Schizosaccharomyces pombe: one gene and its partners. Changing the gene in region 2 together with the main gene of any one other region gives a genetic interaction. Each region holds a gene or a part of one and is shown on either strand. Other genes may lie near its edges.

The links.
Region 1: mutations in msd1 (region 2) and csi2 together harm fitness more than expected from each alone (negative genetic interaction), as found in Schizosaccharomyces pombe (one large-scale study listed by BioGRID).
Region 3: mutations in msd1 (region 2) and sib1 together harm fitness less than expected from each alone (positive genetic interaction), as found in Schizosaccharomyces pombe (one large-scale study listed by BioGRID).
Region 4: mutations in msd1 (region 2) and kti12 together harm fitness more than expected from each alone (negative genetic interaction), as found in Schizosaccharomyces pombe (one large-scale study listed by BioGRID).

Annotation. Positions count from the first base shown.
Region 1 is NC_003424.3:5,360,615-5,366,684, forward strand, and holds csi2 (protein Csi2), read right to left. Parts: upstream 3,286-6,070; 5' UTR 3,100-3,285; coding exon 1,294-3,099; 3' UTR 998-1,293; downstream 1-997. Other genes in the region: met8 (siroheme synthase), read right to left, coding at 1-717, 889-923; amidophosphoribosyltransferase Ade4, read right to left, coding at 3,746-5,347.
Region 2 is NC_003423.3:3,048,933-3,053,335, reverse strand, and holds msd1 (microtubule-anchoring factor Msd1), read right to left. Parts: upstream 2,786-4,403; 5' UTR 2,757-2,785; coding exon 1,761-2,756; 3' UTR 1,377-1,760; downstream 1-1,376. Other genes in the region: SPOM_SPBC13E7.07 (uncharacterized protein), read right to left, coding at 4-825; gpi14 (pig-M family mannosyltransferase), read right to left, coding at 2,859-3,092, 3,143-4,403. UniProt on the Schizosaccharomyces pombe protein: Has a role in meiosis.
Region 3 is NC_003424.3:865,981-872,161, forward strand, and holds the start of sib1 (ferrichrome synthetase Sib1), read right to left. Parts: upstream 3,705-6,181; 5' UTR 3,548-3,704; coding exon 1-3,547. Other genes in the region: sib2 (ornithine N5 monooxygenase), read left to right, coding at 5,045-6,181. UniProt on the Schizosaccharomyces pombe protein: Involved in intracellular and extracellular ferrichrome siderophore biosynthesis.
Region 4 is NC_003424.3:4,391,505-4,396,263, forward strand, and holds kti12 (elongator complex-associated protein Kti2), read right to left. Parts: upstream 2,454-4,759; 5' UTR 2,386-2,453; coding exon 2,214-2,385; exon of another isoform or gene 2,069-2,213; coding exon 1,395-2,068; 3' UTR 1,309-1,394; downstream 1-1,308. Other genes in the region: Sec7 domain-containing protein sec72, read right to left, coding at 1-920; tsn1 (translin), read right to left, coding at 3,203-3,237, 3,295-3,463, 3,506-3,588, 3,627-3,863, 3,912-3,987, 4,026-4,088; vacuolar phytochelatin and glutathione S-conjugate ABC family transmembrane transporter Abc4, read right to left, coding at 4,428-4,759. UniProt on the Schizosaccharomyces pombe protein: Elongator complex-associated factor that is not a structural subunit but rather transiently contacts the complex.

The DNA of each region.
Region 1 (6,070 bases), on a different chromosome or scaffold from region 2:
ATTATAATTGCTCCAAACCATATGTAGTTGTCTATCTTGCTGTAGGCTGGAGTCGTTATTTCTCGATAACTAGGTGTTTTTTTTGGGAAGTATCCCAAAAGTCGGTTGATGAGATTTTCGTCGAGCATGGCAAGTTCCTCCAAAGACCACAGTTCGCAAATCTCAATCATCCATCTCATTCTTTTGCGACTGTTTTCAGGTTCGGGAACAATGTCTCGTAATTTTTGTCGTAAAAGGCCAGTTTTTTCCAATGCCATACCAGTAGCTGGATTGATTGAACTTTCGATTTTTTTTCGTATTAAACTGGCAAGTTTTGGACCTTTACCATTGGTGCTAACCATAATTTGTAGAGGGCCGTTACGGATTTCAGACCCAAAGTAGAAATCACATTCAGGTGGAATATCCGCCGCATTGACCGGGATTTTTTTGCTTTTGCATAACTTATAAATTTCGGAAGACAAGCTGGGATCATCTATGGCTGTAAGTACCATGTTTACATCGTCAGACAAATCTTCGACTAGAAATCCCCTGTCTCGCCATTCAACTTGCTTCTCCTGTATTCTCCAAGCCACTTCTTTACAAAGACCAGCTTTTGGACTTACAACGATAACATGGGCATCCGCATTCAAAACATGCAATATACGCCCAGCTGCCACAACGCCACCTCCAACAATTAATACTTTTTTACCTTGTGCACGCCAAGCAATAATTAATGATCTAAAGCTTAGATTAGCCTAAAAATTACCTTGAGATACATCAAAAAACTTTGCTAGCTTTCATTTTGTATGCTTTGCTAATTTTTCAATTCTGTGTAGATGAAAGTTAAGATACTAAAAAGCTGAAAATGATTTATAGAGCCTTGTAACTTCATAAAGATGCTTGACTTACCCACCAGGCTGCACAGACTGATATTTTGAAGCCATTATTCAAATTTTATCTTAACCAAGTGTAGGTGTTCCTGTATACTTGAGAATTATAGTATCGCCAATTACAATTCGACATTCAGTATCTGCTTCCCTATACGGGTTAATAGTTGGGAATCCTATTACGCGTATACTATTCGTTTATTTAAGACCTAAATTTTCCAGTGAATTAAAACTACCTTGTGAATAAAATCCCGAGGACGTGCAAATTTTTGAAACTATTTCATAGCACCAACTAAGCATATTCCTATACATCATAGATTAATTAATATGCTAAATTTATATATTTTTTTCATTGACAAGAAATATCCATACAAAAGTAATAGATGAAAGTGGCTCTTAGACTACTTAGTCGTATTTAAATAAGACGTTAAAATTCTTCATTAATCTCCTTACCATGTATACCAATGTGGTATAAACAAATTTGCGACGTCAAAGATTCATTTTTTGAAAACGCCCTGAACACAAATGTGTTAAAATAAGCTTCTTCCAGAAGGCCAGGTGTGTCCGAGAATTTTGGAAGATAGTAATAATTTACTTCGAACACCGAAGACAAAGAAACAGGAATCGTGGCAAGCAAAACCAAGTTGTTCATGTTGCTTAAAATTTGATAATTGATATCATTGATAAGCCCAAACATTTGGATTTCACGCGGGAAATAAGAATCATCACCATGTATTGGAAAAATTAGTGAAATATGTCGCACGTACATTGGTCGATTTAAACGCACAGAAACCTGTACAGTATCTTCGTAATTACACCAATTACTATTGATGCTTGTGTCAAGTAAAGCCGTCGGTAGATTTGCTTTTTTTCCCCAGTAATCCCTTAAAATGTCAGAAAATTTAGGCTTAGGAAATGTCCATCCGTAGTCCACGACAGCACCAACAACTTTCAAGGCAAAGTCCGGGTGATCAGCAACATTTCTCTGGGAACAAGAATGTTTTATGTATTTTTCAACTCTTTTTTCTAAGTTTGAATTGAGTTTTTGATGAACAGATTCCTCAAGGTCTTTATGATAATAAGAATATGTGGCATCAAACTGCTTCGCCAAAAGATTTTTAGCAGCATCTTTTTTTAAATATAAACCGGAGTTTATGATTGAAAAATTGGTGGTCGATCTATTGCCATAAAAAGACTGTGATGAGTTGTGTCGCTTTACAATATACATAGCTTCTTTAGAGCTTTGAGCAATGTTCCGTAATATATCTTTCAAACAAAGAATATCAAGATTGACACTTTCGTGTAAATCTTCAATGCAAAGTAAATTAAAAATAGACTCTCCATTGTTAATTCTCAGAAAGCCCCGATACGAAGGATTTCGCAATAAATTGTAATGTTCGGCAAAAGAACAAATGGCTTGAACACTCTTATTGACTAATGAAATCGGGATGTTCCCAGGGTGTTTTTCGGAAACAGGCAGATGCGACACTAGGTATATGTCTTTTTCAATAAAATCTAGGTAAGTGTTCAGTAGAGGGTTAACAGAATCATTTATATCCTGTATTTTAAGATCATAAGTACTCATTAAATTTCTATCCCAAAAATGTAATAAAACATCTTCAGGGCTAATTGGATTTTGATAAAGAAGTGTCTTTGCCTCTGTAAGGTTTGACTGTAGCTTTAGCAATGGCATTATAGAATCACGTTCATTATATGTTGAAGAGGAATTACCAAATTTGGATTTAAACAGAGATTTCGCTTGTTCCAAGTGTTTGCCAAAACTTATATTAAAATTTGAAGGAATGAACCGAAAAGGAATTCTGTCTACGAAATCCTTATAAAAAAACTTAATATTTACTCGTCCATCATTAGGTATTAGTAAAAACAACGAGAAAAGCAAAAGAAATGAGAGTAAAAAGCTAACTTTTCGACGGTTCAAAAGAAACTTTATGATGGAAAATACAGTGCTGATAAATTCTAAAGCTTGCTTACAATAGTAAACGAAGAAAAAGATCGACTTTTTAAAGAATGTGTTAGAGATATTTCTAGATATGTTTGAGTTGACATCTGACTGCAGGCCACGGCTCAAAGGCGAAGGGTCGTTCACAGACAATTCGTCGCTTGCATGATTGGGAGTAGAGTGATTCTGATGCACTAATGCATCATTCGCTATCAAAAGCTGTTCCATGTCAAAAAAATCATTAGAGGATGCCTGTCGCTTTCTAGACATCATCACAAAAGGCACTGATGATATCGAAATCCCCTCTCTTCGGAATCATTCAACACGAGTTTCGCCAAAACAGTGAGTTGTATTGAAACATAGACTTAAATTAATAGGTTTTTAGTTATTGATTAAACGAAAGAATGCTTTTACCGTTATACGCATTTATATAAAGAAATGAAGAAGTTGGTGGACTATACAAGTAAAAACGTCGAAAGAGTTTGTAACATAATTATGCAAATAGTACAAACAGACTTTGAATTATGTTTCATTTTATGAAAAGGTTAAGAGACCAAAAAAAAAAAACCAATATTGTATATTATTGCATGTTTATAAAAGTGTGTAGAAAATTTTTTTCAGACACTACTTATAATCTAATAGTCTTAAAGAGTATGGGTAAACTTATATATTGAAACAATATATATTAATTGGTAACAAAAAGTAAAATTAACAACAAGGAGCTGATGAAATTATCTTTAATTTCAAGAAAAGTTTCAAGAGGACAAAAATTCAGAAATTAAAATCAACCAAAAAACCATTGATGGGGCGATTGTACATTCTATTAGTATTCAACAATGGATTAGAGCATCAATCTAGACAAAGTAAATGGAGGATTGGTTATTATAATAAAGCACTAAGCATTGAATAAATTGGGGAATTAAACAAAATCAAAAGTAACATCTGAATGTGTGTTATGGAGAGAAATGTCTTCGGGAGCTTCACGTTCCTCATCTTCTGCAAAGCTATGCTTACGAGCACGATTGTTAGCAATACGCATTTGCTCAAGATGGACTAAATATTCTTTACTAGCGCCAGTAGTGTATTCGCCAGTAAAGAGACCAACTTCAAATTCGGTCAGCTCAGCCGTACGACAAGAATCTAATAAATCTTCTAATGTTTGATAAATGACACCATCGGCACTAATTGCTTCAGCAACCTCATCCTCAGTTTTTCCATAAGCAATGAGATCCTTACAATCAGCGAGATCAATACCGTAGACATGAGGATGAGTGATCATAGGAGCGCAACTAGCCAAATAGACATTCTTTGCACCCGACTCCCTAGCCATTTGAACGATCTCACGAGAGGTGGTACCACGAACAATACTGTCATCCACAATTAAAACATTCTTATCAAAAAACTCTTGAGGTTGAACATTTAATTTACGACGAACCGATTTACGACGAATCTGTTGACCTGGCATAATGAAGGTACGACCAATATATCGGTTTTTAATAAAAGCTTCGACGTATGGCAGTTGAGCTGTCTGTGCAAGTGCAAGGGCACTGGTTCGAGCAGAATCTGGAACAGGAATGACAGCATCAATTTTTTCCATGTAATCGGGACCAAACCGTTTCATTATAGTATGCGCTAACTTTTCACCCATATTTAAACGGGATTGGTATACGGACAATCCGTCAATAACAGAGTCGGGACGAGCGAAATAGACATACTCAAATATATCGGGAGTAAATCTTAGGCAGGGAAGGATTTGACGAGAAAACAAGCGAGGGCCTCTAAACCCTGCAAGTATATCTTCCCTATTGGAACGACGAATAAAGACACACTCACCGGGGCGAATATCTCTGAATGTACGGTATCCAAATTGAGTCAATACAACACTCTCACTAGCAAGCATGTAATCCTTTCCTTCGGGGGTATCACGTTCACCGATCACTAAAGGACGAATGCCATTGGGATCACGGAATCCCAAAACACCCAAGCCTGCGATCATAGCAACACATGCATAACCACCATTAACGCGATCGTATACATTACGCAAAGCTTCGAAAATATCATTTTCGTTTATACGAAATTTATCCAACCGTTGAAGCTCGTAAGCAAAGATGTTAAGCAAAAGCTCAGAATCAGATCCAGTGTTTACATGACGATGGGCCTCAGTGTCCAAAAAGCGTCGTAATTCGGGTCCATTAATTAAATTACCATTATGGCCCAACACAAGACCATAAGGAGAGTTAACATAAAAGGGTTGTGCTTCAGAGTGAGCACAACTTCCAGCAGTAGGATAGCGCAAATGACCAATACCCATACTACCTACGAGTTGGCGAAGTTGATGCTGACTAAAAACATCGGCAACCATGCCGGATCCCTTGCATTGGTAAAGACGACCTTTGTTTCCAGCGGTTACAATACCGGCGGCATCTTGACCCCGATGCTGCAAACTGTAAAGACCCTCATAAATTTCAGGACATGCCTGTTGATGAGGGTCAGCAAGCATTAACGCCAAAATTCCGCACATTTTCTAAAACTTGTTAGAGCTTCGGTTGTGAATTGAATACAAAAGATAATAAAATGATAGGTTTAAATGTACAAAAGAAAAAACAGCACCCAGTCAAATTGCTATAACTTGATTAAAATAATATGAGTCGGACTGTTCTATTCGGACAGCAATCAAAGTTTGAGAATACTTGGAATATAATTTCAATTTTTTTGTACCGACCGTAAAATGAGTTGTATGTTACCATCACAGAAAATAAAAAATTTTAATCAATTAAGCAGACCTCAGAAAACCTTGTAGCTACATAAGATGAAATTCAGAAGTCTAGCATCTAAATAAACGGTAATCATCATAGGCAAGTACTGCGGCGTTGGAAAATCAATATCTATATTAACTTACTTTTTAAAACGCGTACGAAACAAAAAAAAAAAGATTTTCAGGTACGCGCTGAACAAACACCGTAGTTGGGTATATTGTTAAGGCAAAATTTTGCTGCCGTATAAATTAATTTATTGTCCGCCTTAAATGATAGTGAAGTATGAGTCGAAACTATGACTGCTCAAGATTGTGATGAACGATTCGCTAAATAGAAGCTTAAAGAGAGGTGGGATATGCGCACGTTAATATAGGTAACAGGTATAGCTTGCTACTTAGCTGACAGGGTAGATGATATTAAATTGTTTGCTATTTTTGTTGCCAAAAAAAATTTTTTAAGCTTAAAAATATATCTTTAAATAAAACCTT
Region 2 (4,403 bases):
TTCCTACCACAAACTATCATATCGGTTACCTTTGGAAGAGCCTGCTTGACCGTTGTTAATATAAGAGTAAGCAGAACGGCTAGAATTGTTTAGCCCTCCACGAGGCCTATTTGCTTCATGAAGCTCTTTTCTATGTGCAGCAAGCCTTCTTCGTTGTTCTTCATCTGCAAGTTCTTGCATTTCTTTAGCCCGTAGCTTTTTTTGTTGATTTTGACGTTGCCTTTTGGTAAGAGGTTCAGTGGATTTCTTTTTGCCGTACGACCTGGAGCTGGTAACAGTTTGAAAGCCATCATCGATATCGTTTGAAGAAAACGAATTATGTAAAGAGTCATCTGCTGTAATAGCGGCGAGAGATATTGATGACTTCATTTTCAAAGAGGAAGGGGTAGTTGAATGTTTCTGTTCTAATTTTTGAGTATCTTCAACGTCCGTAGTATCCTCCTTTTCAGCAGGATTTTTTCCGACCAATTTCTCCTTCTTAGGAGACTTTACTTTCTTGACTTTATGATTTTCTTGGAAAATTTTAGGTGTGCCCTTCTTTGGCACTACCACGGGTTCCTTCTTTGAAGAGTCTTTCGATTTCGACTTTAGGGCATCTGAGGTTTCCAATTTTTGGGATTTTTTAGAGGGAGTTTCTCGATTAACCAAAGTATCCTTCTTAGTGTTCTTTTGTTTCTGCCTCTGTTTCTGTTTACCCAACTTAGTAAGCTTAGACTTTTGAGGTTTGGTAGCTAATTTTTTATCACTTGAGACTAAAAAATAGTACGCAACGTAAACAGTAGCTATAAGAAATGCCCATCTAAAGAAAGCCTCCTCATAACCCATTCTTTATCTCAATGTGGAATAGTGTAAGTAGAGCAACCAAATGGCAGTCCAAGCAAGCGCCATAATGTATCAGGGAATGCACAATGCTACTTAACGATCCTTGATATATAGCACTATATGTTAAAAAATGTAAACAATAAGAAAATGTGATTTCAATAACAAAAGGTAATTATATTGTTTAACATTGAACACATTTGACAAAAAAAACTAATGTACTTGATCACACTACTAATGCTATTCTAAATTCGCTAAAGACTTGTCGCCAATAAAATTAATACACCAACGTATTCGCTTAAAAAGTATAATTAAAAAAAAAAATTGTTAAAATTTATTTATCATTATAGTAACTCTGATTTTTACTTTTTTAACAAAACCACCAATAATGATTTTTGAAGCTTACTAGTACCTTAAATATTTTGTTCTATTAGGGGTGTGTTAGTAGTTTTGAGCAGAATTGAAATTCGAAATATCAATATATTTATAATTATGTAGGTGTTTTTTTACAAATATAAAAAAGAATTAAAAATAACTTATGACTTTTTAGAAAATATTCCGGTTAATTATTTTTTTGAAGATTAAACACAATCGTAAGTGCTCCAACTAACTTTTACATGGAAATAATTAAATCGACTTTCTTGAGCTAGTGCCTACAATCCTTTAACAACATGCTTTCAAAGCCCTGGTGCACTGTTTAACAGTTTCACATTTTAAGGTATGTTAAATCGTTCAATTGAGAATAGAAATTTGCCTTCAAAATTCTGTACTTAGTGAAAGAAGATGCACTTGTTTACAATAAATAAATATTTAAAAAAATAAAAAGCAATCTTCCAGTTCTCAAAGAGGAATATAAGTGTCTTTGAATTGCGTTCTTTATTATTAATAAATTGGCTTTCGTTTAAGAAATCGAAGCAGCAAATTATTACGTTAAAAGTCAGTCAAAATTTGTCGTGCATATTTGTTAAAAATTCAAAAACTCTTTTGTTCTCCTTTTGAAGAATGTTTATCAAATGTTTATTTTTCTCGTTTTCCTCTAATATTGCATCCAATTCATCAATTGAAACATATTTACGTTCATGCAACAGATTACGAATAAAAAGCAGCTGATTTTGAATTTTTGCATCAAGAAGGATAGCATTCAGTTCACATACTTCAAACGGGTTCGAGTTAGGACGTTCGTATAAAGGACTTAACATCTCTACCAGTGAATTCAAGGTACCACTTAAACATGTCAAAAGTGTTCCGTTACTTTTTTTCAATTCGTTATTTAATCCTTTTAACAATTGAAATTCATCGTTATTCACCCTACTGTTAAGGAAATTGGAATTTTCATCATTCTGTTGCAAAAATGAAGCGGTCTCAGGTAGTATGGGGGCATTTGTGTTTTGCTTAATAGGCTCTTTAACGATTAACATACTATTTAGGTTTCTTCCTTTTCGAGCTTTCACTAGTCCATAGTTACCTTTCAAAGTCTCCATTTGTTGCTCATGCTGGCGTAATGAAACAGATAATTGATTCTTTAATGCCTTCAAAGTCAATTCATTTTTAGCATTTACATCTTTCAAACCTTTATTTTGTGTAATTAATTCAGCTTGATCTCTTTCCAGTGTTCTAACTTTATTCAGTTGCAATTGACATTCGTTTTGATAAAGCTCCAACTCATTTTTGAGCCGTTTTATTGTATTGTTATCTCTTTGCTTTTCATATTCATTATTTTTAATAGCATCAAGAAGAGATTCCTTTTCTAAACGTTCTTCGTCAGTTGCTCTTAATAAACGATATATGATGTTCACTATGTTGCAATTATCACGAATGTCATGAGAAAGGCGTAACTTTTCAGCTTGTATTACTCCTTTGGAAAATAAAGATTTGTTAATATACAAAAGGCTTTCTTCTATATTGCTGGGGTTGCAAAAAACAATGGGGGTGGTCATCTTCCAATGTTTACACTTATTAATGCGGTGGTGAAGAAATAATGTAGAACATCCTTATAAAAATCATCTATTGCATAGAACTTAAAACAGATTGATTATTAACTACAAAGAATCTAATATTATTTTTAATTCATAAACATTAAAAAAAAAAAAAAGTAAGCCGGAAAGCCAAAGAGGTATAAATACCGATTTTCCCAACATTTCTAAATTGTATGCACTAATAAGCCATAACAGCTGACCAATAATCCACAGAGACAGACAAATAAGTCCCTTCTTACTTAAAAGCTTAGAGTTTGGTAAAACCAGAGGTAGAAATACTAGATACCACATAAAATACTAAGTTGTTAGTATAATCCGTCATTCTTCTAATTTCAAACTTAACATACCTGACTGGTACAAACCTTATTAAAGGTTACAAATGCAAATGTTTGGGCAAATAGAGTCCCAGGTAAATTCTTTTTTCCAAAGACCAAGGGTATTAGCATGCACAAACTTAACTGCGGCAGAAATGCAAATAAAGAAGACGCTTTTGCTCCGAAAGATGATTCATAGTATAAGTTTAAATGATGTAGAGAGAAATTATGTCGATGATCTGTTCTACCAAAGTGGTAAAGATATGTATGTTCAAGGAATGGAGACCCGTAAAGGTAATACATCAATAAATTACATATCGTAAACATAAACAAAGAACCAACAACAATCTTTAACTGATTAATCGATAATAAAGATAGAAATTTTTCCATGAAAGTGGACCCTTTTTTTGGTTTTGAAAAATATACTAAGAAAGCAATCCCATACATAAATGGGTAAATTTTAAAATGCACAGAAAACCCAAGTATTAGGCTAGCTAGCCAAACTGATTTTTTTTCGATCAAATACAACAAAGCAATGCTCAATATACCAAGAATGGCTTCACAATTCCCTCGAGTACTGATTATGGCGACGAATGGGTTCAATATCCAGAAGGAAGAGTAAATTAACGACCTTTTGTAAGATATCCTCCTAGATAAGAGCTTAATCATAAGCCACCCAGCAATTAAGTCTGATATTGAAAACAAATATTTACCCCACGACGGAAATCCGTATTGAGTAGGAAGAAGCAAAATTGCCAACATTGGAGTATAGCGATATGTGTCACGCATATACGGTGACATTCCTATGGAGACATATTTTGATGCGTCCGAAAACACGAAATAATCGATGTCCGTAAATTTAAGGGCAGATCGTCTATCATGCCAAATACCATAATTCAACAATACAAGTCTCATCAATAGACCCAATAAAAGTAAAAGAAATGCATCAGTAGGCGCATATAGGAGATATAAACTACTTTCACGTAATTTGGTAATCATATTTTCACGACTATTGTACTTTGACAGTAATTTCATAGCTTTTGCATAATGGATAAGAGCTTCACGAGCACTTGTATTGAATAGACTGCAAACTTTCACATCCAAATCAATGAGATATTTTTCATCCTGGGTTAAACGATATTGCAAGCAAGATTGAATAAAGCACTGAATTCGCAAATATTCTTTATCTGAGACACTAGTGTTTGTCCATTCAAGCAAAGAATTGGTAACTCCAGCAGCTAGTAAAGAATATGCCTTTTCATAATTTTGAAAGTTGTATGATTGAATACCTTTG
Region 3 (6,181 bases), on a different chromosome or scaffold from region 2:
GGATTTTATCAAAATCGTTTAACAAGTTATTTAGTAGCTCAGAGCTCAAATAACCGGTAAGTTTAAATTTATAACCTTTATTTTTTTCGATCTCGATCAGCAAAGGCTGTTCAACATGGTCAGTTGAATGTATTAATGAGATGAAACTTTCGTCGACAGAAGGTATTCCTGATTGCTGATAAATTAATATACTCTCAAATAAATTGGAAACTAGTAATTCTTCTTGAAAATCCGAAATTGCCATAACGGAATGTTTCAAAACGAAACTCAATTCTTTAAACAAGTTTTGACAAAGATTTTTATACGACAATTCATCATCCAGCTTAATGCGAACAGGCAAAGTTTGCATACATGGTCCTATAACATAGTCAACGTTTGGTAATAAACTGTTAACACGCCCTGATACAACAGTGCCTACTAAAAAGTCGTTTGTTTTCAAGTATGAGGAAAGAACAGTAGACCAAGCTGTTAAAAAGAATGATAATGGAGTAGTTTGAAGTTGCTTACAAATGTTTTCAACACTGAGCAGGCTGATATTTGAGGATAATTCAACAACACCCATCTTCTCACGTTGATAAGATAAACTTTTGAATTTAAAATCCTTCAAATATTTTTTCCAAAAGCTTATGCAATTTTTGTAGTTCAGTCGCCTAAGCGATTCTAATTCCTGAACATAGTCTTCAAATTGTGGGACGATCGTAAGCCGTCTATCGTGAATCAGCATGAATAATTGCTGCATAATAATATCGATGGACCAACCATCGTATAAAGCGTGATGCCAGACAATGCTGAGATAACAGTTACTGGAGTCATAAATTACAGCAGCATCCAATGGACCACTGTTTAGAAATTGTTCATCAAATTCTTTGGTAGTAAAATGTTTTTGAATGCACTCTAGGCAATTCTTTGAATACGAATACAATGGAGGCTTCTTTTCAAGAATAAACCGAGTAAATCCCTCATTTTCGTCCAAAGCAAAGCCATTACTCAGTATAGTATGTGTATCTAGTAATTTCTCCCAGGCAAGCTTAACTTTTTCAGGTGAAGCTGCAATTTTAAAAACAGTGTGATTGAAATATAGATTTCCATTATTTGAGAACGATTCATAGAGCATTCCTTTTTGAAGTGGTGTGCATTTATTAAGAAAATTGTTCTTTGACTGAACTTCGTTGGGTTTGAGTAAAATTAAGCTCTCAGCTATTTTGAAAACCACTTTACTAGTCAAAACAATTGATGGATTTGCCTCAAAACCTAAGGACCTAATCTTACGCACGAAATAGACAATATCTAAAGAATCCAATCCCAAGTCAAAAATCGACGAAAACCGAGAAATAGATACAACAGAGTTAAATCTCTTTTCACATATTTCATGTAACACATTAGCGACTAACAGTTCAGATTGATTAAAGCTAGAGAAATCAGTAGAGTGTTTATCAGAAGCAGAAAATTGAATTTTCAATGCTTTGCGATCTGTTTTTCCACTTGCTAGTCTTGGAAACCCAGGTAAGCCAACGTATTTTGTTGGGCACATCCAACTAGCAAGGTGGGATTCAGCGTGCTTTCTCAATTTCATTTCGTCGCCGACATAAAAAGCAACCAAATTGTCGCCAATTTTTTCAATAGCCAAAGAATCGACGGAGGGTGCTAATTTTGATTCAATTTCTCCAATTTCAATACGCCTACCTCTTATTTTTATTTGCATATCACCAGCAATCCTCCCGAATATATATAATTTCCCATTTATTATACGGCCCAAATCGCCAGTTCGGTAAATTGACAGAGTTTGTTCGTTATATTGAACCTCAACAAAGGCCTTTGCATTAATCTCTGGTCGATTAATGTATCCACTAGACAACTGTGGGCCAGCAATACATACTTCTCCTAGAAATCCTTCATGCAACACATGCGGCTGAGAATCTTCAGTAGGAAGTGAAACAACGCATATTGTTGCTGATTGTAATGGCACGCCAACTAAATAAACCGTGGTTAACGCTTTGGAAGGATTAAGCGTAACATGTATAGCTGCTTCTGTCGGACCATAAGCATTTACTAAACGTTCTCCCCAAAAGTCAATGATTCTATTAGTGAGCAACTCACCGATCGTTATGAGCATTCGAACACTTGTAAATAATTCCTTATTTTCGTCAAGCGAGATAACATTAGCAACAGTGGGTGTTAGTTCCAAAGCAGCGATTTTATAATCATATATTAAATACTCCAAATTTCCGATCAAGTTCTGCCTTTTCGAAGTCACCAACGTCAGACCGTTATTCCAATTTCCAAAAATTTCAAAAACCGATACATCAAAGGTCACGTTGGCAAACTGCAACCAAGCATCACCACGTTCAAGCCCAAACATTGGATATAAATACCCGTGGGATTTGATAGAATTGGTAGCAGCTCGATGAGAGATTGCAACACCCTTGGGATTTCCAGTTGAACCAGATGTGTACAGAACATAAGCAACGGAATCAAGGCTTTCAGGAAAGGGAAAGGGGGGTATCTCATCATCGACTTTGATCTCCATTGACTCATTATACTCAGGAACCTTTAATATAATTGTGTTATTAGGAAATCGATTAACAAACTCTTCAGAGACAATAGCAAAAGACGCATCAACATCTTTACTGATAAAGTGGACCCTTTCAGTACGAGTTTCTACATCAATGGGACAATAAGCATTACCACTGTAGAGGATTGCAAGAATACCAACGAAAAGAGCAGGTGAATGAGATACCATAATAGGAACTACCTCATTCTTACATGTAACGAGTTTGGAAAGTTTTATTGCCAAAGAGTGAAGCTCGAGAAAAGAAAATGATCTAAAGGTATCCTCCAGATCATCGCCAATTTCATATATAAACTTCAAAGCATCTTGATAAGGGTGAGAAAGAGTATTATGATAAAAACACCCGTGTAAATAATTAGCAAGAGATGAAGAGTTTAAGCATAAATCGGAACAAGGAGAATTAAGGATGGAGAAGGGGAGGTCGTAATTAGTGATTTTTGAGTTAATCATGAAAAAAAGTAATCTTGCTAAATCATCATCAAACAGAGACGAATTCCATTTTAAAGTAAGGAAATTGGGAGAACAGACAAAGGCTATGTCGGCAACCACATCCATAGATCGAAAAGCGGTTATGTCTGAAAAATAAGATAAAAGTTGATTCAAACATGGTTTAGATGATTCAAACAAATCGTCAGCAAAGGATGGATCTCGACGCGAAGTGAAAACGGCAGAATGTAGTTTATGTAGGTGAAAAACTTCTAAGGGTTCTAGTTGGGAGTTTGTAGAATGATATAAGTAGCATTGGCAATTTTTAGGATTAGTATTAGGAATCACATCGTCTGAAACAGGAAAAAAAAAGAATGAAACTTCTCCACCAGTGATACCACAAAACAGCCAACTCCAAGCGTCCAAAAATGCAGAGTAAGGATGTGAAAAGGGAAGTGATAAAACGTGATAGGGGGCATCACTTGACGGCCGCATAGGACCTAATTGAGAAATTTGAGTTGAGAAAGCATCTTCTTCATTTGAATTCTTCATAAGTCTCAATCAAAAAATTTAGTGACACGGAAATATTTTATAACGAAGGTGTTGTTTCACAAATGTATCAATAGCTAAAGGATGTATTAATCCTTCATTAAAACACAGTAGCAGTAAGAACCAAGTAGAGGAATATCCTGCTAAAATATGGATGCTTGTAATATTACACCACCCTTGCTTAACGAAGTTTAGTTACGTGATTTGGCGCAGCCTTAAAGTTCGTTATAATGTGCAATCAAAAAGGCCTGTCTAAACAAGGCAATCAACAAACTGGAAGTTTTTCGGGTGACTATTTTCATCGGAGTTTGCTCTTTTAAGTGAATTTTTCAATACTTTCGAAAGATCATGAAAAGCCTCATTACTAATCTTTTCCGAAATTTAAAATGGAGAGATATCAAATGAAGTGCATGTGACCTAGATTTTCGCTTACAATATTGCCCACTTTACCACCTTATATTTATCAGATCGATAGAGATCGGATGAAGAGAGTCTAGAAGATCAACGCGGGGTGCCGGTCGGTAAACCTGAGTCCAAGTAAAGGGGACTTTTTGTAGTGGAAAACGAATGAATAGAGTTTTCCATTTTTTCTGATGTCTCATTTAATCGATGCCATTCTATTAAAAAAAATGTGTTGTAACACACTTACCACTTCCTTTTCGCTTTACTCCAGATTTGCTTCCGCATAGTTCAAAAAACTACGGACTTGCGAGATACAGAGCATGCGACCGCAGCATAGAGAAAGTGGATGAAAAGGGGAGGGAAAGAAGATGACAGAGAAATATAGACCTTGGTATGCGGTAATTTTAACGATTTTCAAATAATTTCATAACAAAGACTCGGTTTTCCGTAATACTAAATTTGGCAGTACACTTTTCACCTTCTGTTTATACCTAAGAATACAAAACGATGCTTAATTTTAGGCACTTCTTATTTTTTGTTTATTCGTATGTACGCGAGGAGAAAACATATACCTGGCGATGCTTTGTTTTAATTTCCCATAAAAAAAGAATTTCGCTCAAGAAAAACAGAATTTTCATTTCACCATCCTCTTTTTTTTAACGGTTGTTTATGCTTCGAGATTTTCTCGGATTTCACAAAATTTCCACCTTAACTGCAGTTACGTAAGGGCTTAGCGCTATGACGGAGAAAGCGCGACATATGTTATCGAAAGGGAATGGACTCCTTAAAATACATGTGCTCATATACTTCCATTATATAGGCTCATTTTCGCACGTATTGTGGGTTGGATAACAATATTTTAAAATCGACCAACAATCTTCTTGCAAACATTTGTAGTAGTGCTAGCCTAATTAATTTCAAAAAGCCGCGCATTCTAGAATATCGTGAAACTTGGTAAGTATGAAAAGGAAAAATATGTTTTTTCGGATAATGGAACCAAGTTTTCTAATATTATTGCTTGCTTAGGGAAAATCCCTAATTATCTAATTAATTCATTTCGTCCCTCTTTCTTAAAAAAAAACCTTTGGAAATAAGAAAATGACTGAACCTCTAGATTTAGCAATTATTGGATTTGGTCCCGCTAGTCTTTCTTTCCTTATTGCTTTGCATGACCATTCGGAGGAGCCCTTAAAGAACAAAAAAATCCGCGTGTTTGAAAAGTTGCCCACGTTTTCCTGGCATGAGGGTATGCTGATTCCTGGTTCAAACATGCAAATCTCATTTGTAAAGGATTTGGCAACGCCCAGGGATCCTACTTCTTACTTCACCTTTTTAAACTATCTACATTCGCATGGCCAGGAACGATTATCTGGTTTCCTTAACATGTCCACCCTAGAGCCATCTCGTTACGAATACCATGACTACTTATGCTGGGCAGCCAGCCATTTCTCCAAGTTTGTCGAGTACAACGCTAACATTAATAAACTCCATTACGATGCCGCAACTGATCTGTACATTGTGGGTCACGGTGATACTCAATGGCAAGCGAAAAACATCATTATTACTACGGGTTGTCAGCCGTATATACCACCATTGTATAAATCAGTCGACAGTCCACTTATCGTCCACTCCAGTAAGTTCATGTCAGATCATAGTCAAAAGTTGCTTCGAAATTCCAAACACGGCATTCTCGTCGTGGGATGCGGTCAATCTGCTGCTGAAATATGGAAACACTGTCATTACTCTCTCGACCCCAAGACCCCTTTGGCAATGTGCTTTCGCAATTTGGCCCCAGTTCCCAGTGACTCAAGCCCTTTTGTGAATTCGCTTTACTTTGACAGCCATAACTCCCATTGGTGGTACAACCTTCCCACTGAAGCTAGATTGAAAGGACTAAGCGTTGGCCGTACTACCAATTACAGTGTTGTCAAAGAGTCACTATTGGAGGAGATGTTTAAGGAGTGCTACTTGCAAAAACTGAGGTATGGTCAAGAATTCCATCAAATAATGGGTGATACAGACATTCAGTCGATTAAGAACGAAGGCGATCATTTAGTTGTTCAATTGACTAGTCAAATGGACAAAAGCAAAAAGCCTGAAACTCGTAAAATTGATGTCCTGTATGTAGCTACTGGTTATGATCATGAATCATTCGATGTCTTAATGTCCTCCCTTTTTCCCAACTCGCAGGGCGCTCAAATTTCTGAGGAGTACTGTGTACTAAACGCCCCAAGT
Region 4 (4,759 bases), on a different chromosome or scaffold from region 2:
AAAGAAGCTTGAGCAACTGACTGTATAGTATCACTATCCCCGAGAAGAAAGACATTAAAGAGTTTACGAACAGAATTCAATAATATCGCTCCATGAAGCATACTATCCTGCTCAGAACATAAGATAAAGGCAGATAAAGCTTTTACAACATTCAATTGCAGATTTCCATCAACAACTTCATCATTGATACTATCGCATACCATATCAACCATACACTGTAGAAGGGATTTAGGGGGCCCAAATGAGGCAGGTGTTTTATCTTTTGAAGAAAAATAGGCGAATGAAGCAAGTTTAGAAATAGTGTCTAAAGAAATGTTCATAACTTCATCTTGACTGGATTCAAAGCAGTACTGAAATAACTCTACTATCAAAAATTTGTCAAACTGACATTCGGTTTGTAGAAGAGGTTTTAGTTGCTCCATTAAATTCTTCATCTTCTCGTTCTTCATACAAACTTTTATTTGTATAAGCTGCTCGATGCACTTTATAAGCACTACATGAGTGGATTTTTCCAAATTGGTTAAACCTGATTTTTGCTTTTCCAAACTGGCCCTCGATGCAGCGTCAGGTACAGGCGTCGCGATAGTTTCATTGGATTTTTTGTCGTCTTTCAAGTCTTCTTCTTGATATTTCTGCTCGATTCCTTCGGGACTCTTTTCGTTTTCTTGTTTCGCTGGCGACAACGACGAATCTTCTGTATTTATATCAATACTTACCACAGCATCGCCTTCTAAACTTTCAGAAGCAACACGACCGAGATCCATACCATTTTCATCATCTTCGTTGTCAGAATCATTAATAATTTTAGTAACTGATGTTGTTCCAACTTCTGGAAGATCTTCGTGTCTGTCATGTTGCTCATTCACGGAGTTCATAGGCAGAGCAGGCATATTGATCACAGGTTCAGAGGCATCCTGCATTTTGGCATCGGTCACGTTCAAGCCAATTGCCGTCTAGACGAGCCAACTTTTAGCAATGAAATATAAGGCGGAGTATGTCTTTGCTAAGTGTTTTCGGCCTTAATGTGTCGAACGTTAGATCTCGGTTCAATGTGCTACTTATATAAAGCAAACGAGCGAGACTTATAATAAATTGTTTTATTACAGTATGGATTAAATAGTAAACATTATAACTAGATTTATACAATATTCGTTGTTTTACTGAAACTTTTATTGTCGATATTGACCGTGAACGTTTTCTTATTTCTTTTTTACAGGACAGCATTCCTTAAACTGTAAAAGGATTAAGGAATTAAACAAAATGTACGATTTCTACCATTTTAAACATGTTCTAAAAAAAAGAAACAAACAAAGTTAAGTATTAATATTAGGCTACATTTTTTCGTCCCCTTAAAAATCCCAAAAAAAAATATCATAAAGTTTAAGAAAAGGATATCAGTCCAAGGTTTCAAATTGACCATTTAAAAATTCGACAAACATTTCCTTGAGAACATTGGTATTATATGATTGTTGCCGGTTAATTTGGATAAATTGACGGCGCAATCTTTGAAGTAAAGGAAGAGATACTGTAACACTGGGTAATGCGATTTGAAGTTTGCTCCCTGGTACAGTAATCAAGGAGGTATCGTTGGAATTATCCAGTATAAGCATGATTACGTCTTGAGTAGTTTTATCTAATTCATATAAATAGTTGACTTCAGCTGGAGGTTTTACCATTGTAGCTTGGTTAGGCTTGACATTTTTGTTATGAATAAGAACTGACCAGATGTCATCGATAGGACAAGAAGCATCATCGTGCAAGACAGTAAATAAAGGGGAATCCCATCGTGTCATTCCATTCGGTTCTTCATAACGAAACATTAATTGCTCAAGAACATCGTCAGGATACGGCTGTTCCTTGTTACTATTGAATTTTCGACATAAATCTTGAGGAACAGCAACATGAATCACACAATGAGTTGTGTACATAGACTTTGATTCACAATATAACTGGTATCGAAATCCTTTTATGTAATTCAAGGCATCGCAAATTACGAATGTAGATTTTGAAAGTTCACGCTGAACAGCAGAATAGAGAAGGCCACGAGCGGCCTTTTCGTTCTTGGACTCTAAGACAAATTAGTTACCAGAATTACGAAAAATTGCATATACGGATTCTCCCATCATCTAGAGTAGCTGGGCACAATCTGAAGCCAAAAATGAATTGGCTAATTTCCAAAAACTAAATCATTAAAGATAACTATTTAAACATACCTCGATATGTTTCTTTTTCAATGTTTAAACTCTCATCGTTTATTATTATCACCCGATAATCCTTTGTATTGTCGATATTTTGATGAATTCGATCTTCTAAAGCCTTTTTAAGTTCATTTGACCTCGTTGTTTTCCCTGAAGATGGATAACCTGAAACAATTATTAATGGCATTTTCTTTATGTTCTACAAAATAGAAGGTTGAATAAAATCAGCCGTAAAACATATGTTTGAAAACTTCCAGCTTTTTTTTGATATATTTTTTCATGAATTTAACGAAAATTACTAGTTCGTTAAACATTAGTAAACAGTTAATTTTTATCCTTAATTTGTATTTCGTAATGCGCTCAATTTCGGTACTGACTTATTACTTACGACTAGTAAGTATTGCTTAGGCTTAAAAACACAGTAATTTCAATTTGCGGTCTCTTTAATTTAATCTTGCTTCCCTTTACCTTATCAATTGTTCTAAAAGAATTAAGGATTAACACTAGTAAGACCCCGGATTTTAATCGCTAAAAAAACATGCACGCCTTCTACGCAATCAGGGTTGTTCAATTTAAAAATAGTAATCATTTGTTGAAAGATTTTAAAGGTGCATAGGACATCAAGAAATATAAGCTAAATGCAGTTGATTAAAAGTTAGAAAAGTATCTACTTATGCCGCCATTAACATGTATCTGGTAAAATGCGACTAACTTATAACACATGTTGTATACCAGTCCAATGATTAATTTAGTACCCTGGAAAACGTCTTGAATATTGGGTAAAGAAAAATCAGAACTTAAAGAAACCTAGGCTGAAATATTTTTTTTTTAAATAACTATTCAGTTTGCCAGAGAGTGTAACAAAATTAAAGAAAGAGAAATATAATTGCATTCATCATAGGACTGCCAGTTTCATAGCAAATAAGCAGACCTAATATTAAAAAAGCAATTTTATCGGCTCAATTTTAGTCAAGCGTACAGCTGGCAAATAAATTGTTAGCAATTTAAACCAATTTATGTATCCGAAGATCATAAACAACTGCATATGTCAGAAATAAACTATCAAAAAAAAAAAAAATCCACGTAAATTTCATACCGTCCTCAGATCTTTTCAAATCATATTTTAATCCATCGAAATGTCTTCTTAAGGAGTCGTTTTTCAAAGAGAGTACTTGAAAAGAAGAATGAACTTTTTGAATAGTATTTAGGGCCTCAAATGGAATATGATAGTTTCCAGATATTACTGAGTTTACAGATTGACGAGCCTAGAAATTGTGTCAATTTGGATTGTTGAATAGAATATATACCAGTTCAGAACACAGAGATAGTACTGCGTGCAAATATTGCTCAATTGAAAGATGAAAAGTGGACTCTTCTGGAAAAACCGGGACTGAAGATTGTGAGAAAAATGTAAAATAATTTACGCACCTTGCAAAATTTGACCAACTTCGGAAAGCGATAGAAGGCTGTACGTGGGTCTTAAACTTTTATCTAAACGACCGGTCCAGGAAGCTAGCAAATATAAATAAACAACTTTCTGAATTGATCGATCCCAGACTCCGTTATATTTATAGTATGGAAAATTCGATGCCAATTCTGCTAATCCTCTGGTTTTGCTTTTAATGATCTCAAGAGCTTCTAAAATTTCTTCCTGATTTTCTAAATCTTCCAAAGTTAGTCCATGTTCTTTTTCTTGTAAATTTTCATTTCTACTTTGTTCACAGTTTGCCAAGAGAAGTTGCAAAACTCTTAACTTTTCGTCTAACAAATCGACCTCTGCAGTCAGTTTCTGTAATGTTAGTTTGTCATAATTTCCAAGATTAGTACCTCCCGAATACTATGTTCTTTATCAATTTGATCTTGTAGCTGAATAAATATTGATTTATTCATTCGACTTAATCTGTAATGTATGCTGTTGAGTAGTGTTGATATTCGAATGATGTTTTCAGTATGCAAATAACACGACCGTTGTGATATTTATCAGCCAGATTATACCAACCTTTTTCTTAAGTCGTAAAATAAAGATAATCAATTTAGCGGGTATTTTGCAAGTTATTAACTAAAATTATTACTAGCTGCTAAAGAAACGCTTGGGTTGTTTAGATCTTTTATATGTAAAATGATATATTATGTAACTGAAGAAGAATCTAACCTAATTGAATAATTTCCTTTAAATTAATCTAAGCTTACAAAATAAGTTTCATCAGCCAACATTATTTAAAATTAAAATCATGCTGATTTCGAACCTCGAGTTTCAGGAGGCAGAAAAGTAATTCCACTGCCATCGCACATACGTCGAAAGTGACCATTATTATGATAAAGTACGGCTGGGGGACCATACTCTACCAATACACCCTTATCCAAGACCATGACTTTGTCATAATCAACAATAGTTTTCAAACGATGGGCAATACATAACATAGTTGCATCGCCAAATGCTTCACGCAATGTTTTTTGAATTTTCTGATCCATAGCATCATCCACAGAGGCAGTACACTCATCTAGAATAATAATTTTGGAACGTCTAACTATTGCGCGTGCTAATGCAAGGACTTGTTTTT